Linked DNA regions of Saccharomyces cerevisiae S288C. The gene in region 1 interacts genetically with each later gene. Each region holds a gene or a part of one and is shown in the gene's direction. Other genes may lie near its edges.

Evidence for each region. A genetic interaction does not mean that the proteins touch.
Region 2: of CWP2 (region 1) and TLD1, extra expression of one rescues a mutant of the other (dosage rescue), as found in Saccharomyces cerevisiae (one study listed by BioGRID).
Region 3: mutations in CWP2 (region 1) and ATP11 together harm fitness more than expected from each alone (negative genetic interaction), as found in Saccharomyces cerevisiae (2 studies listed by BioGRID).

The regions. Positions count from the first base shown.
Region 1 is NC_001143.9:256,384-261,686, forward strand, and holds CWP2 (Cwp2p), read left to right. Parts: upstream 1-2,869; coding exon 2,870-3,148; downstream 3,149-5,303. Other genes in the region: rRNA-processing protein UTP11, read right to left, coding at 1-89; MTC2 (Mtc2p), read left to right, coding at 387-1,460; YKL097C (uncharacterized protein), read right to left, coding at 2,120-2,530; YKL096C-B (uncharacterized protein), read right to left, coding at 2,690-2,839; CWP1 (Cwp1p), read left to right, coding at 4,749-5,303. UniProt on the Saccharomyces cerevisiae protein: Component of the cell wall.
Region 2 is NC_001136.10:1,010,259-1,014,813, forward strand, and holds TLD1 (triglyceride-associated lipolysis regulator TLD1), read left to right. Parts: upstream 1-1,993; coding exon 1,994-2,701; downstream 2,702-4,555. Other genes in the region: DON1 (Don1p), read left to right, coding at 1-1,015; YDR274C (uncharacterized protein), read right to left, coding at 1,331-1,702; PMP3 (Pmp3p), read right to left, coding at 3,218-3,385; MTH1 (Mth1p), read right to left, coding at 4,143-4,555.
Region 3 is NC_001146.8:41,470-46,197, reverse strand, and holds ATP11 (Atp11p), read left to right. Parts: upstream 1-1,917; coding exon 1,918-2,874; downstream 2,875-4,728. Other genes in the region: tetratricopeptide repeat-containing protein EMW1, read left to right, coding at 1-890; DAL82 (Dal82p), read right to left, coding at 984-1,751; prephenate dehydratase PHA2, read left to right, coding at 3,123-4,127; cleavage polyadenylation factor subunit PFS2, read right to left, coding at 4,182-4,728.

The DNA.
Region 1 (5,303 bases):
TTTTCTAAAAACCCATATCTGGAACGGCTAGTTAGCTGAGAACGTTCTCTATGCTGCTTTTTCTGAACATCATGTACAAGTTTAGCCATATCTTTTGTCTGTTGTTGGCTGTAACGAACTAGAAAACCCCACTAGTATTATTCGATGATATGCAACTTGCTCTTATTGTAGTTTCTTAGCATTGTTTTCTTTACTCTTTTTCTTCAAATCGCGATGAGCTCATCTAGCCATAAAAAAATTTCATCTTTTACGTGCATAACGACAAACCTTTAAGCCTTAGAGGACTTGGTGATGTGCTCCTTTATAACAACGATTACTTCCATTGAACAGCAACACCTGCAAAATCGGAGCTGCAAAATTATTGATTGGATGTGGCAAAAATAGGAATGGGCGATCATAATCTGCCGGATTTTCAGACATGTTTGAAGTTTTCTGTTACAGCTAAAAAGAGCTTTCTATGTATGTATAGAGACAGCGTCTCAAAGGAAAAATTAGCCTCTTCGATGCCAAGTACTTGTGATATACAACTGAAGAGGGCAATCAATGACGCTTATCCGGGCGGAGGAATAAAGGTCACGGTTCTGAACTCAACAACTGCAAGCTTGGACTCGTTAGCAACTACACATGTTAAGGAATTTGAGATTGTTATCATTCCAGACATAAATTCTCTTTTACAGCCAGACCAAGCGAAATTAGTAAAAATTATGAGAGATTGCACAGTGGCGATTGAGAAGGCACAGTCAACACGTATATTTATAGGAGTGGTTCATTGGAATAATCCCGTGCAGCCTTCAGGCGCCGCTAAGGATGGGGATGAAGCAGGTAAACCAGCTCCCAAAACTCGCATCTTCCTGCCCACGTCTTTCCGTATGGGCGCTTGGCTCAAACACAAATTCTGGTTTGCATGTGCACCCCCATATTTGGATTTTGAAAGTTCAACTGAGTCTAGCATTAATACAAGAGCCAATAATAGCATTGGTATGGCTGAGGAAGAGAAGCAGGAGCCAGAGAGCAAGAGGTCGATCATATTAAATGAAGAGGCAAATCTGAACGATGTATTTGTGGGGTCCACTGTAAGACGGTATATTCTCGATATCATGGTCCATTTGCGAACGCATAGATTGACGTATAACGCCAAAGCCGGCGGGGTATATACAAATTCATTGGACGACGTGGTGTTATTGTCTAGATTAATTGGTCTACATAGCGGCAAGATGTTTGTGTCACCTTCACATGTCAAAGAGGCGTCCAGGTGGTACTTCCCCATGCACTTGGAATTGGTTCAGCGTTCCTCCATGGATAGTTCCTTATTGTACGGTAGCGACCCCAACTTGGTGGACGAAATGCTAGAGAAACTTGCGAAGATTAAGTGTGAGGAGGTTAATGAGTTTGAGAATCCCCTTTTCCTGGAATCTCTCGTAGTGAAAAACGTACTAAGTAAAGTCGTGCCGCCCGTGTAAGTTTATTATGTATTTCGAGCATGCATCTGGAACCTATGTTTACATACGTACAAACGGTATTTAAAAGTTTCTATTCTTAGCGTCAATTGCCCTTTATCGTTTTGTTAACCAATTGTTGTTTTTATTCATTATGCCATGACCCGAAAAATGAGCAAAATCGGTCAAAGTAAATAGCTAAATATTTGGTCTAAAAAGTAAGAGAGAAATGAAAATGGCAAGGCTTAACTACTTTGCAATAGTGTATATAGACATTACCAATTGAGTCCAGCAACGAAAGATTCCGCTTGCACTTGGTCAATCATTTACTGACCATAATACGAAGTAATAGAGATGCTACTAAAAGATGACCATGCGATTACAATTTACAATAGACAATTAAGCGCAAGGACAATCAGTATGCATTCCATTTCTAATAGACAAGGTGCTATGAGTGAATTGCTAGCCTCCCCTTTTTATTTTGTGCGGTCACCGCAAGGGACAAAGCTTTTCTTAGAAAACCGTCTGAGAAGCATAACGTACGCCATCCCCTAGACATATTAATAATGCTACAGATACTATGCTGCTCGTCTTTTTTTGACGACCCTTTTATTGCAATGTGCAACTAATGGCAAACAACCACATAGTATCACAGTATTACATTGCCTCCACCGATGCGGATGTTAGGGCGCCAAGTCTGTCATGAAGCATGTTCCTGTCATAATCTTGTATGCAAAATACCGCGTTCTGCGCCACTGATATGCTAGGCAGCAGCAACCTATGCAGAAGATTGCTTTTCCCACGCCTGTTTTACGTCTCCAGGGCACTTGAAACAATGCAGCGATCGCCGCCACAACACGCCAAAGAGAAGCGAAAGTGGGCCTGGGCGGCCTCAGTTTCGGCAGAGGTAAACAACACGAACTGAACTGCCTTAGCTCCGAAGGGCAATTCCACAGGCACTCCGCGGGGCCCGGCCAAGGCCCAAAAGGCGTGGAATATGCGCGTTTTGGGGCCATAACACCCAGTACCACGGCCGGAACGGGCCATATAATAAGTTTTTCACTCTCAAGAATGGTAAACGTAAATAGGAACATCCCACTACCCTAGAAATTGCGGAAATTTCGCGCTTATCATTAGAAAATCTGGAACCGTCCTTTTTCCTCTTTCTTGCATTTCCCTTTCCGTATTATTGCCATTCTTTAACTGCATTTGGGGAACCGTAGACCAAAAGCCAAACAGAGAAATGTAACGTTCTAAAAAAAAAACAACGAAAAAATTGAAAAATAAGATACAATAATCGTATATAAATCAGGCTTCTTGTTCATCATTTTCAATTCTCTTCTTGCCATCCCTTTTCCTATCTTTGTTCTTTTCTTCTCATAATCAAGAATAAATAACTTCATCACATTCGCTACACACTAACAAGAAAAAAAATGCAATTCTCTACTGTCGCTTCCGTTGCTTTCGTCGCTTTGGCTAACTTTGTTGCCGCTGAATCCGCTGCCGCCATTTCTCAAATCACTGACGGTCAAATCCAAGCTACTACCACTGCTACCACCGAAGCTACCACCACTGCTGCCCCATCTTCCACCGTTGAAACTGTTTCTCCATCCAGCACCGAAACTATCTCTCAACAAACTGAAAATGGTGCTGCTAAGGCCGCTGTCGGTATGGGTGCCGGTGCTCTAGCTGCTGCTGCTATGTTGTTATAAGAAATCTCTGATTTTTTATAATATCTATATGGCTTTTTTCAAAATTTTCGGTTTTACTAGGTAAGTGTTTGATTCTTTTCTTTTCGTTAATATATTTTTACACATAATTTTAAATAATTTTTGTTATTTTGAATAGGTAGATACCATAAAAATAAAACACTTTTTACTTTAACGATGTTCCTGTGATTTCTCTTCGAATGAGTCAAAAATTTGAACTCGAAATGAATGTATTAGAGACTGGGTTTCTTCGAGTTTGCTGAGATCTTGGCTATGCACAATGTTTCCTGCGCCCCTAAGGTGAAAAAAACATGCATGCTTGTTTCAACAGACCAGTGTGCATAAAGAATTTCGCCCTTAGCTGCGATTAAAGAGTCAAGGCGTGAAAAACATAGGCGAAAGTGCTGACCGTTCTTCCCTTTATCTTTTTACCATCTTCGTTATCTGTTACCTGTTCAAAAGAAAGTGGGAAAGATATTGGTGTGCTACGGTGGGATCTTTTTTTTCTGCCATTTTCTATACTTTACTTCCACTTATAAAATATTTTACAAATTCAAGGGAGACGTGTGACAAAATAATAATCTAGAACTCAATGAACTTTTGTCCTCACTACAATTGCCCCTCGGATGGATTTGAACTTACAAGAAATATCACGTTGGCGCGCGCTAAAGTCGCTTGCCAATGCGCTATGAAATTTTCATGACCTGGCACATTTTAGCACAGTGCCATTAATCCCTTTATTATGGGCATTGATGCGACTTTAAAACTGTACCTTCCTTCGCACATGCTGAATTTTCTTAATGAGATTCATCTACGATGCTTTAGAGCTAGCCTTGTTTTCTTTTTTATGCTTCAAGAGTAAGTAGTGAAGAACCCCACTAGACAAATACTAAGGGATGCTGCAACCACGTCTTATACTTCACCCATACATAACATTGGAATCTCATTAATTTTTGCAAAGATATGGTGAACAAGTTTCAAAATAAGAATGTATGTGTACCGAATCGTAGCTCGAGGTAATAATGAAAAAAAAAATCGGACATCTGGAAAGTTACGAATATAGAAGCAGATACCCCTCTTGACGGCAAACATTGTGTGCTCGACCTTCTATCCCGTTAAAATATCATAATAAACAAACCCCTCCCGCGAAAACAAAAAAAGAGAGCTAAAAAAAGTACTTCTTCGCGTTATAGATGGTGCCGCACCGTACGTCATAACTAAAAATAGCGTTAGCCACAGCTCCCTGAACGAAAAGGGCCCTTCGGCCCGATTGGAATACGGGTCCGCTTACGTCTGTGCGTGCGGGTTGTCCCACAACGGTAACTTACTCCAGGAGAGCCATCTCGAAGGTGCCACAAAAGAAAACAAAAAAAACAACAAACAATAAGCTCTGTGGTTCACGTTCAATGTAGTGTTTTTTCACCTTTTAATTTTGATAATTTGTGGTGCAGAAAAAAAAAAAGCAAACAAACAAAATCTCAATTATTTAAAGGACGATCTTAACGTTTCTTTCTTTCGCTATCTTCCTTGAATTTTTTTTCTGTCTGAAGTAAAATATCCCGTAACAAACTAATAAATACTACGAAAGTCTCAAAAAACAATAATGAAATTCTCCACTGCTTTGTCTGTCGCTTTATTCGCCTTGGCTAAGATGGTCATTGCCGATTCCGAAGAATTCGGCCTGGTGAGTATCCGTTCCGGCTCGGATTTACAATACTTGAGTGTTTACAGTGATAACGGCACTTTGAAACTTGGCAGCGGTAGTGGCTCATTTGAGGCAACTATTACCGATGACGGTAAACTGAAATTTGACGACGATAAGTATGCTGTTGTCAATGAGGATGGCTCATTCAAAGAAGGTTCTGAGAGCGATGCTGCCACTGGTTTTTCTATTAAAGATGGCCATCTAAACTACAAGAGCTCTTCTGGTTTCTACGCTATCAAGGACGGGTCGTCTTACATTTTCTCTTCTAAGCAATCCGACGACGCTACCGGTGTTGCGATTAGACCAACTAGTAAGAGCGGATCTGTTGCAGCAGATTTTTCTCCAAGCGACTCTAGTTCCTCTTCATCTGCTTCTGCTTCGTCTGCTTCCGCATCATCTTCTACAAAGCATAGTTCGAGTATAGAATCTGTCGAGACCTCTACTACTGTGGAA
Region 2 (4,555 bases), on another chromosome or scaffold:
TTCGGGATTGGAGCTTCCATCGCAAGACTATACAAACGTTGAAGAAAAAGAAAGTAGCCCGAAAACTGACTTTCCATTAATTACAAAGGAACATGTAAACACGAAAACTGACAGCAATATTCTCGATTATCCCACCATAGGCGATTTAGTTTCCTCAGTAGAGAAATTATGTGTCTTGAAAGAATTGAAGATAGCATTTCCAGAAGTAGATGATACATTAATTAAAGCCATTTTAATTGCCTCCCAAGGGGTTTTGGAGCCGGCATTCAATTCTTTACTCTACTACTCAAGTCCGGAGGAAAACACTGACTTTGCATTACCAATGAAGCCGATAAGTGTGGAAGACTATAGTAAAATAAATGTGTCTGAGATTTTGCAACGTGAAATATTCGATGATATTGAAGACGAATTTTCTGGTCAAGGAATAAATGGCTCCATGGTAATTTCAAAAATTGAATCAGAACTAAGTTCTTTGGCCGAACACATTGGCAACATTAGCACCCCCGGATCGAATAGAGAAGTCGCCGAATCGACTAGGAACGTGGCTGTTGCAGAGGGCCATAATACAATTTTATCAAACGAAGATAGTATACTCAAGGGAAAAGAGAAGGGAAAAGAGGAGGAAAAGGAGAAGGGAGAAGAAAAGGGAGTTAACAGCTTAAAAGGCGCCGCTGTGAAAGTTGTTGCGAAGTCATTGAAGAATAATCGCATTCCCGTCACTGTGAAGAGAAATGAGCCTTCAAACAATTTATTTGACGTTTTAAACTGCGACGAAAGCGAGGAAGAAGAAGAGCAAGATGTCGAAACCAATACGTCGAATCAAGAAAGGAAGAACCAGGGCGGTAATACTGAAGTGCCGGAGGCTCAGCGTGACAGTGCAGATAGGTTACCTGCCAAGGACGACGGTGGATACAAATCTGCCTTTGGCACTGATAGTTGTGGTCTATTTGCAGCTGACGCTAAAGATGAAAAAAAGCAGGTTCATCCATCTAGACAAGAATTAAGTTTTACGTAGTGTATAGCGGTAATGTTTATTAACTCTTTCGGCAAAGTGCGTTTGGGCTCGCAATGAACAGACACCACCATTGCTTCTTCTGCGCTTATTTGCCTTTGTTGTATATCTAGTTCTCAAAATGGAGTCATTCATCAGTCGATGTGTGGGCGGAAATGACGTTCATCTAGCAATGGCACACTAGTTTTTACTCAACAATTCAAACTCAATGGAAAGCCAGGAAGTTAGCGCCGGGAAACTTCAGGACAATATAAAAACAGGACTAACGGAAGAAAATAATGTGGGCCTTTTTGAGCAACGCTGACGGTAAGTAGTTTCCTACGATCGTACAATCCCGGAAAATTGTAGTGGTGCAAGAAGGGAAAAGAATGATGGCGAAAAATGCACGCGCGTAAATAATGATTTGTCGAGTCCTATTGACCACAAAACCCGCGGAAACCTAGTTAGCCCAAAAGGAAATGGATAGCATATGAAAAACGAAACGAAACGTCCTTTTGCACGGCAGAAAGAGCTTAGTAGGACCCGGGACAAATGCAAGTTAGATTCCTTGATTCCCGAATGCTCGGTCTTGCGTTTCGCCGTGGCTGCATGGAAGGTCATCGTACGGGTACGGGCAGTCTGGCTGAGTGGTGCCGCCAAAGTGCAATAGCTGTCAGTAGGGCGTGAGGAATGTAAAAGGCAAGAAAACATGTACGAGGGAAGAGAAGGGGGCAAAAGAAAGATAATAGGAACGGTGTAGATGAACTAGAAAAGGTTCAAGAGATGATAAACGTGAAGGGAGTGTCATATCTACCGACATAAAGATAGAGATCTTTTTTTTTCCTTTATTTTTTTTTTTGATTTTTTTTTTTGATTTTCTTGATATTAGTTTTTAGAAGTCCTTTGACGGGGCAGCCGGAGAATATATACCAACGGCATTCTATTGTCTTTTTTTCTTCCTTCCTTGCCAGGCATCTGCATCCATTATTGCCTTTAGTTACAATGTTTTTTTTCCCGAAGCTTAGAAAACTTATAGGTTCAACTGTGATCGATCACGATACCAAGAACTCATCAGGAAAGGAAGAGATCATGTCAAATAGCCGATTAGCACTTGTTATTATCAACCACGCCTTTGATAAGGTACTATCTTTGACGTGGCACTGCGGGATATTATCCGAAATAAGATCAGGACTGATGTTAATGTTTGGCATTTTCCAGTTGATGTGCTCTTTGGGTGTCATCGTATTGCTGTTGCCTATTATCATACTGGACGCGATCGATCTATTCCTCTACATGTGCAGGTTGCTTGATTACGGTTGCAAGTTATTCCACTACAATAGATCATCATTACCGGTGGCAGATGGAAAAGAAAAGACCAGTGGTCCCATAAGCGGAAAGGAGGAAATAGTTATTGATGAGGAGATAATTAATATGCTAAATGAATCCTCAGAATCATTGATCAATCATACTACAGCTGGTCTGGAATATGATATTAGTTCAGGTAGTGTTAACAAAAGTAGGCGTTTGAATTCAACTAGTACAGTTACATTTGTGAAGCAGAATAAACTTGTTAATGAAAGGAGGGAAGACGCCTACTACGAGGAAGAGGATGATGATTTCCTATCAAATCCGAATTATGATAAGATATCATTGATCGAAAAATCATTCACGAGTCGTTTTGAAGTGGCTTGTGAGCAGAAAGCTGCTTAAATTGATAATCAAGGTCAAGGCAACGCAACGCCACTGCTAAGAACACTTATTGCTACAGAAAGGAAACTAAAAATAATTATAAGGCTAGAGAGAAATAAAAACAAAATAAGAGAGATAATATGGGTAAGGGTCTGCCACCCATCTGATAAAAGGCTGTTCTATCTTTTGGAACTCTACAACACAGGTAAACGGATGATACTGGCTATATTTATATAGATAAACAAACTTGCAGGACAGATAGTTAAGCGTCTATATCATGTGTATTTTAAGCGAAGAAAAAAGTACAAAAATGATAAAAGGCAAAAAAGATGAGAAGTTTTTTTTGTGATAAAATTAATTATTAAAAAATACACACGTAGTTAAAATTAACAGCGGGGGAGGAAACCTTAAGAGAAAGAGAAACAAAAAAAAAGAAAGGAAACAAATAAAAATGAGGGTGACCCGAACATGTTGATACCGTTTCCTAATACTGCTTCCTTATTTCATTTGATAGTTACTTTCGTTTATTGAATGAGCTTAATCTTGTAGGACAATGTACAAGGCATATAGCATACCTGGGAACCAAGCCAAAATGGTCAAAATGATATCCACTATACAGTCAGTACCCCACCCACGGGCTAGAAAAACGGCGACTGGTGGTAAGAAAAGGGATAATATAATGTTAATGATCTTGGCAGAATCCATTGTTGTATTGTGCTGTGCTGTTTAGTTCAAAATGTATAATCAATTGTATTATACTGGCGAAAAACAACAACCGATAGTAAATTTTCTTCTTTTTTTCCTTTCCCTCTTCCAAAACAAAAACACTCACTTCCTCTTTTGTATTTATAGAGGCGCCCATCGCAAAATAACCAGGACCCCCTTTTGAGGGCGTGGTTAAAGGGCACCCAGAGCCCACACCCATTGCATCTTCCGCTATTAGGGGACTGCGGAAGTGAGGGGAGCAGTAAATAGTGATCTTTGTAATTTTCTGCAAAATCCCTCTCGCTGTCTCGGGTTTTTCGATTCAGAGGACCTTCCCCCCCCCATGTTCCGAGATCGGTTTTGGTGGTTAGAAGGCCGGAGGAAAGACATTTACCGCTTGCGCGCGGCTTCTTCTGTATGCTGTGCTCAACTACCAAGAGAAGGATTACGCGCACGGATACGTTGGATGTCTGCGATTGGTGATGCTAAGAACTAAAGGTATTTCGTCATCGTATGGTTTGATCTTCGCTACCCTTGACTCTTTACTGCGATAACGGTACCACGTTCCCATAAAATTCTTATTACTAAATCTCTATAAAGCTGCAACAGCTAGTTTGTATATATAAATCATTGGCGCTTCTTCCTCAATTCCTTGGGAATTTGGAGCTCCTCTATTAAAACTGATGTCCATGGGATAGTATTGATACAATCGAAGAGTCTCCAAAAAAACCATCGGGAAGGTTTCTTTTTAGTATCTTCAGGATACTGAATCCGGCTGCCAATCCAATCCTAATCTTTGGTAAACTTGTGCCTGACATTGCGACCATATCGTAGCCTTTTCTTCTTTAGATAAGCTGACTTTGTTTTTTCCCTGTTGATTTGTTGCGGCGCTTGATCTCATCATCAATTCATCAAGGTTATTATTGGGGTTTTTCAACTGAATGTTCTTCAATAAAGCCTTTTTCAGAAGCGATTTTGTTTCTGTGCTGTTTTTCCGCGGTATTATGCTTGGTGGGGGCATGTCCGGTCTTTTTAAGTTGGACTGTTGTAACTTCCATTTCTTATATTCGGAGCATCTTTGTTTGAAATCAAACCTGCATTGTGCCTCTACTGCTATATTTAAGAGGTAATTTTCGATGATATTTCTCCATTCCGGTTTCGACAAATTCA
Region 3 (4,728 bases), on another chromosome or scaffold:
CTCCTCCAAAGTCTGGAGCACAACCAAATTACTCTGCTACCTTGAAACATTTAAATGACTCGTTAAGGCAATACCCATTAAGCTTTGAAACGTGGTATTTTTATGGTTGCGTTGGATTACAATGTGGTAAAATGCAGATAGCTGCGGAGGCATTTACCAGATGTGTTTCATTAGACCCTTATCATGCTCTTTCATGGTCAAATTTGAGCGCTGCATATACGAAAATGGATAAATTGAAAGAAGCTTATAGTTGTTTGAAAAGAGCCATTTCATGTGACGCTCAAAAGAACTGGAAAATTTGGGAGAATTACATGCTTGTTGCTGTTAAGTTGAATGAGTGGGAGGATGTCTTAACTGCATGTAAACAATTAGTCAGTATTAGGAGGGACAAATCTGGCGAAGGTTCCATCGACTTACCAATTATTGAAAAACTAGTAGAACTATTAGTGACTAGTGAATATCCAGAGGAGCCGCAGCAATTATCTTATTTTCAAAAGAGCTGTACTGAGTTTATCTGTAACACTTTACCTCAGGTAATTACAACCAGTGCAAGATGTTGGCGACTGGTCGCAAGAGTAGAACTTTGGAGGAAGAGACCATGGGCCGCCCTAGAATGCCACGAGAAGGCTTATAGGGCCATTTCTCACAATCCTGATTTAGAAGTTGAAGAAAAGGTTTGGAATGATACAGTGGATGCTTGTGAAGATTTGGTGGCTGCCTATGAATCACTTGGTGAAATGGAAGGTAAATATGGGCCAGGCAGTCTGGTTTGCAAAGACTGGAAATACAAATGTAGATCTACTATCAAAGCTCTAATGAGTAAAGGCAAAGGCAGATGGGATGACTCTCCTGGTTGGGATAGGCTAGTGGAAGCAAGAAGCCAAATATGAAGAGCACCTTTCATGTATAATCTGTGTATATTACGTAATGTTTGTATAAATAGATACATATGGACATGAATCAAGCATATCTAATAGAAGTTTTTATATTTTATCTCCTTGGCTGGGTGGTCTCATCTGTGAAAGGAGAGCCTCAATTATGTTGAGCTTGTTTAAAACTTTACACTCAAAATCTTCTTGCCTTTTCTTTATCACCTCGAGTTCGTTGTGAAGATAATCTAGACATATTTCCAATTCCATATTAGAGTCCGACCACGATTGCTCAGCAGCCATTTGTGGAGGCAGTACTGTCTCGCTGAACCTATTTGTACCCTTGTTTATCTTAGGGCTTTTGATGACTTTCCCGACGTCGTTATCCTTAGACAGAATCATGGGGATTGTGTGAAGAGTAGGCGGAATTCCAATCGTTATTGAATCCAGGGGCAGCGGTTGTGAGCCTGAATGCTCATCGTCGGAGCTGTGGTTATTCGGATGTTCAGCGGATGATAATTGTTGAAACGGATCAGGCCCCGGATGACTTTTAATGAAAGAAGATGATGATAAGGATGAAGATGATTCATTTCCGAATTTAGTTCTTGGTCTTGGATGTTCTGGTGCTTCGTCCAAGAGTGCTCCCATCAGCTTCAACTGGGAAGGAGAGAATTGGGCTCGATCTGCGCTGAAGAGGTCCTTCAGTCGACGAAATTTGGTTTTTAACGTCCTTGATTGTCTATATCTTGACCCAGTCTGTCTGTTGTACTCATCGAGCACCCTTTGCCAGCTATCTTGTCTGTAGGCATATGGTTTCAGATGAGGTTTGTGCCGTATCAGTAGTCGTAGAAGCAGCTCCACAGGATCCACCGATTCATCCATTATGGTTGGCTCCGCCTAAACCTTTCAAAGTATCGTTAAACCATGTTGTTATCAATGGTTCAACTCACCCGAATGGAAATAACGCTTATTTTGACGCCGTAATCGAAGGATGTGAAGAACTTATCAAGACTTGAAAATAGAGAACAAAAGAGATTTAAGAATAACTATGTGGAGACTAACCAGAAAAATCGGCACTAGAATCCATATTTCTAATCAGCTGTCGCCCATTTTTAACAAGGCAATTGGAACAGTTCCTGTTTTTCGTTTTTATTCTTCCAGCCCAGAGCAGAAGTATAGAAAGAAACTTTTGGAAGAGGCTCAAAAACAAGGTTTTAACAGCATAGAAGAGTTGAAAAATCATTTGAAAGAGACTATAGAGTCTAAGAAGCGGGAATTTAATAAAATCGACCCCCTGAAAGAACTAGAGGATTACCAACAAAAAACTCAAATGGAAAATAACAACTCCAAGCATTTGATGACGAAATCAAGAAGTCCTCTCGATCCAAGTGCTCCTAAAGTTCCCTTCAAAACATTGGACTCTTTTTTGGATGTTGGAAAACTGAAGGACTTATCGAAACAGGAAGTAGAGTTTCTTTGGAGAGCAAGATGGGCACAAAAAGATAATACATTATGCGCTGTGATTCCTGTCTCCGTTTATGATAAGATGATGGCAAATGCCAGGAATAACCCTATATTCGTGTTGCCACTTCCTAGACAAGTTCAATCTGAGGATGCAAAACCGAACGAAGAACAGGGAATGGAACTACACTACATCCAATGGCAGTTTGTCGGACCCCAAACAACACATTGTATGATGACTTCCCTAGCAGAATACAAACTACACCAGGAATTTGCAAGGCCACATACTACCTTGCAGTTCCATTCTGATTTGGTCAAGGATAAGGGAATTGTTTTTATGAATGGCCATGTTGAACCGGATACAAACGTGAATGTACAGGATGCACAGCTGTTATTGCTAAACGTGCAAAGGTTTTATGGTGCAATGGGTGAAGAAACTCCAGTTGCTAAACAGAGAGTGCAGTTGTTAAGAGATTTCTCTAAGGCCTCTCCGGGATTCACCGTCGAGAAATTGATTTCGCTATCACAGTCCATGGAAAATTAACGAAGAATTACTTCCGTATACGTATATATATATATATATATATATTAATGACACCTGTAAATAAAATACGTACTACATCATCTGCGACAAGCGTACAGTTTCTTTACACAGTTATCAGCATGACTCTTGTATTTTCATAATGAAAAATGAAAATAAAAATTTTAGTAGATGAATATAATACGCAGAAAGAACAGGCTAAAAAAGTACGAAAAGCAACTTCATTATATTTCCGCATTCATCCTTCAATTATGGCCAGCAAGACTTTGAGGGTTCTTTTTCTGGGTCCCAAAGGTACGTATTCCCATCAAGCTGCATTACAACAATTTCAATCAACATCTGATGTTGAGTACCTCCCAGCAGCCTCTATCCCCCAATGTTTTAACCAATTGGAGAACGACACTAGTATAGATTATTCAGTGGTACCGTTGGAAAATTCCACCAATGGACAAGTAGTTTTTTCCTATGATCTCTTGCGTGATAGGATGATCAAAAAAGCCCTATCCTTACCTGCTCCAGCAGATACTAATAGAATTACACCAGATATAGAAGTTATAGCGGAGCAATATGTACCCATTACCCATTGTCTAATCAGCCCAATCCAACTACCAAATGGTATTGCATCCCTTGGAAATTTTGAAGAAGTCATAATACACTCACATCCGCAAGTATGGGGCCAGGTTGAATGTTACTTAAGGTCCATGGCAGAAAAATTTCCGCAGGTCACCTTTATAAGATTGGATTGTTCTTCCACATCTGAATCAGTGAACCAATGCATTCGGTCATCAACGGCCGATTGCGACAACATTCTGCATTTAGCCATTGCTAGTGAAACAGCTGCCCAATTGCATAAGGCGTACATCATTGAACATTCGATAAATGATAAGCTAGGAAATACAACAAGATTTTTAGTATTGAAGAGAAGGGAGAACGCAGGCGACAATGAAGTAGAAGACACTGGATTACTACGGGTTAACCTACTCACCTTTACTACTCGTCAAGATGACCCTGGTTCTTTGGTAGATGTTTTGAACATACTAAAAATCCATTCACTCAACATGTGTTCTATAAACTCTAGACCATTCCATTTGGACGAACATGATAGAAACTGGCGATATTTATTTTTCATTGAATATTACACCGAGAAGAATACCCCAAAGAATAAAGAAAAATTCTATGAAGATATCAGCGACAAAAGTAAACAGTGGTGCCTGTGGGGTACATTCCCCAGAAATGAGAGATATTATCACAAATAATATGTTATATAGTCTTTTTATTTATGTATCCTAAAATCTCGTCAAAGCGCACTTTTATATGCTTAAACCTGGCAATGTGGAACTCTTGATGTTTGAATCGATGCCTGGGATTTCTTGACGCGGTTTCTTGTTGATGAATCCATTCATGTTTGGTAACGCATGTGGTTCAAGTGTAGCTGGTGGTGGCGGGGCCGCACCGAATTCACTCTTCTCTCTCACAGCATTGATGTCGTTATTGATGCCAAAAAACCATCCATTTATCTTCTTATTGTTATAAGTTGGATCATCATATGCATTAGGATCAATTGGCCTCGCTCTAGTCCAAAATCTTATGGTTCTATCCTTAGCTGCTGTGGCAAATATATGTCCTACTGGATTATATGATAACGAGGTGATACACTTATCATGGGCGTATGGAATAGTCAAAATAGGTTCGTTTAGATTTTGTAAAAGATCAAAATGCTTTAGCGAGCCGTCATAGCACGCCAGAGTGAACATAGATTCATTTATTGGGTGCCATTCTAGTGTCATATAATCCGTTTCATCTCTTACACACATTAGTTCCTTCATACTGTATCTAATGTCGAACACACGACACGAT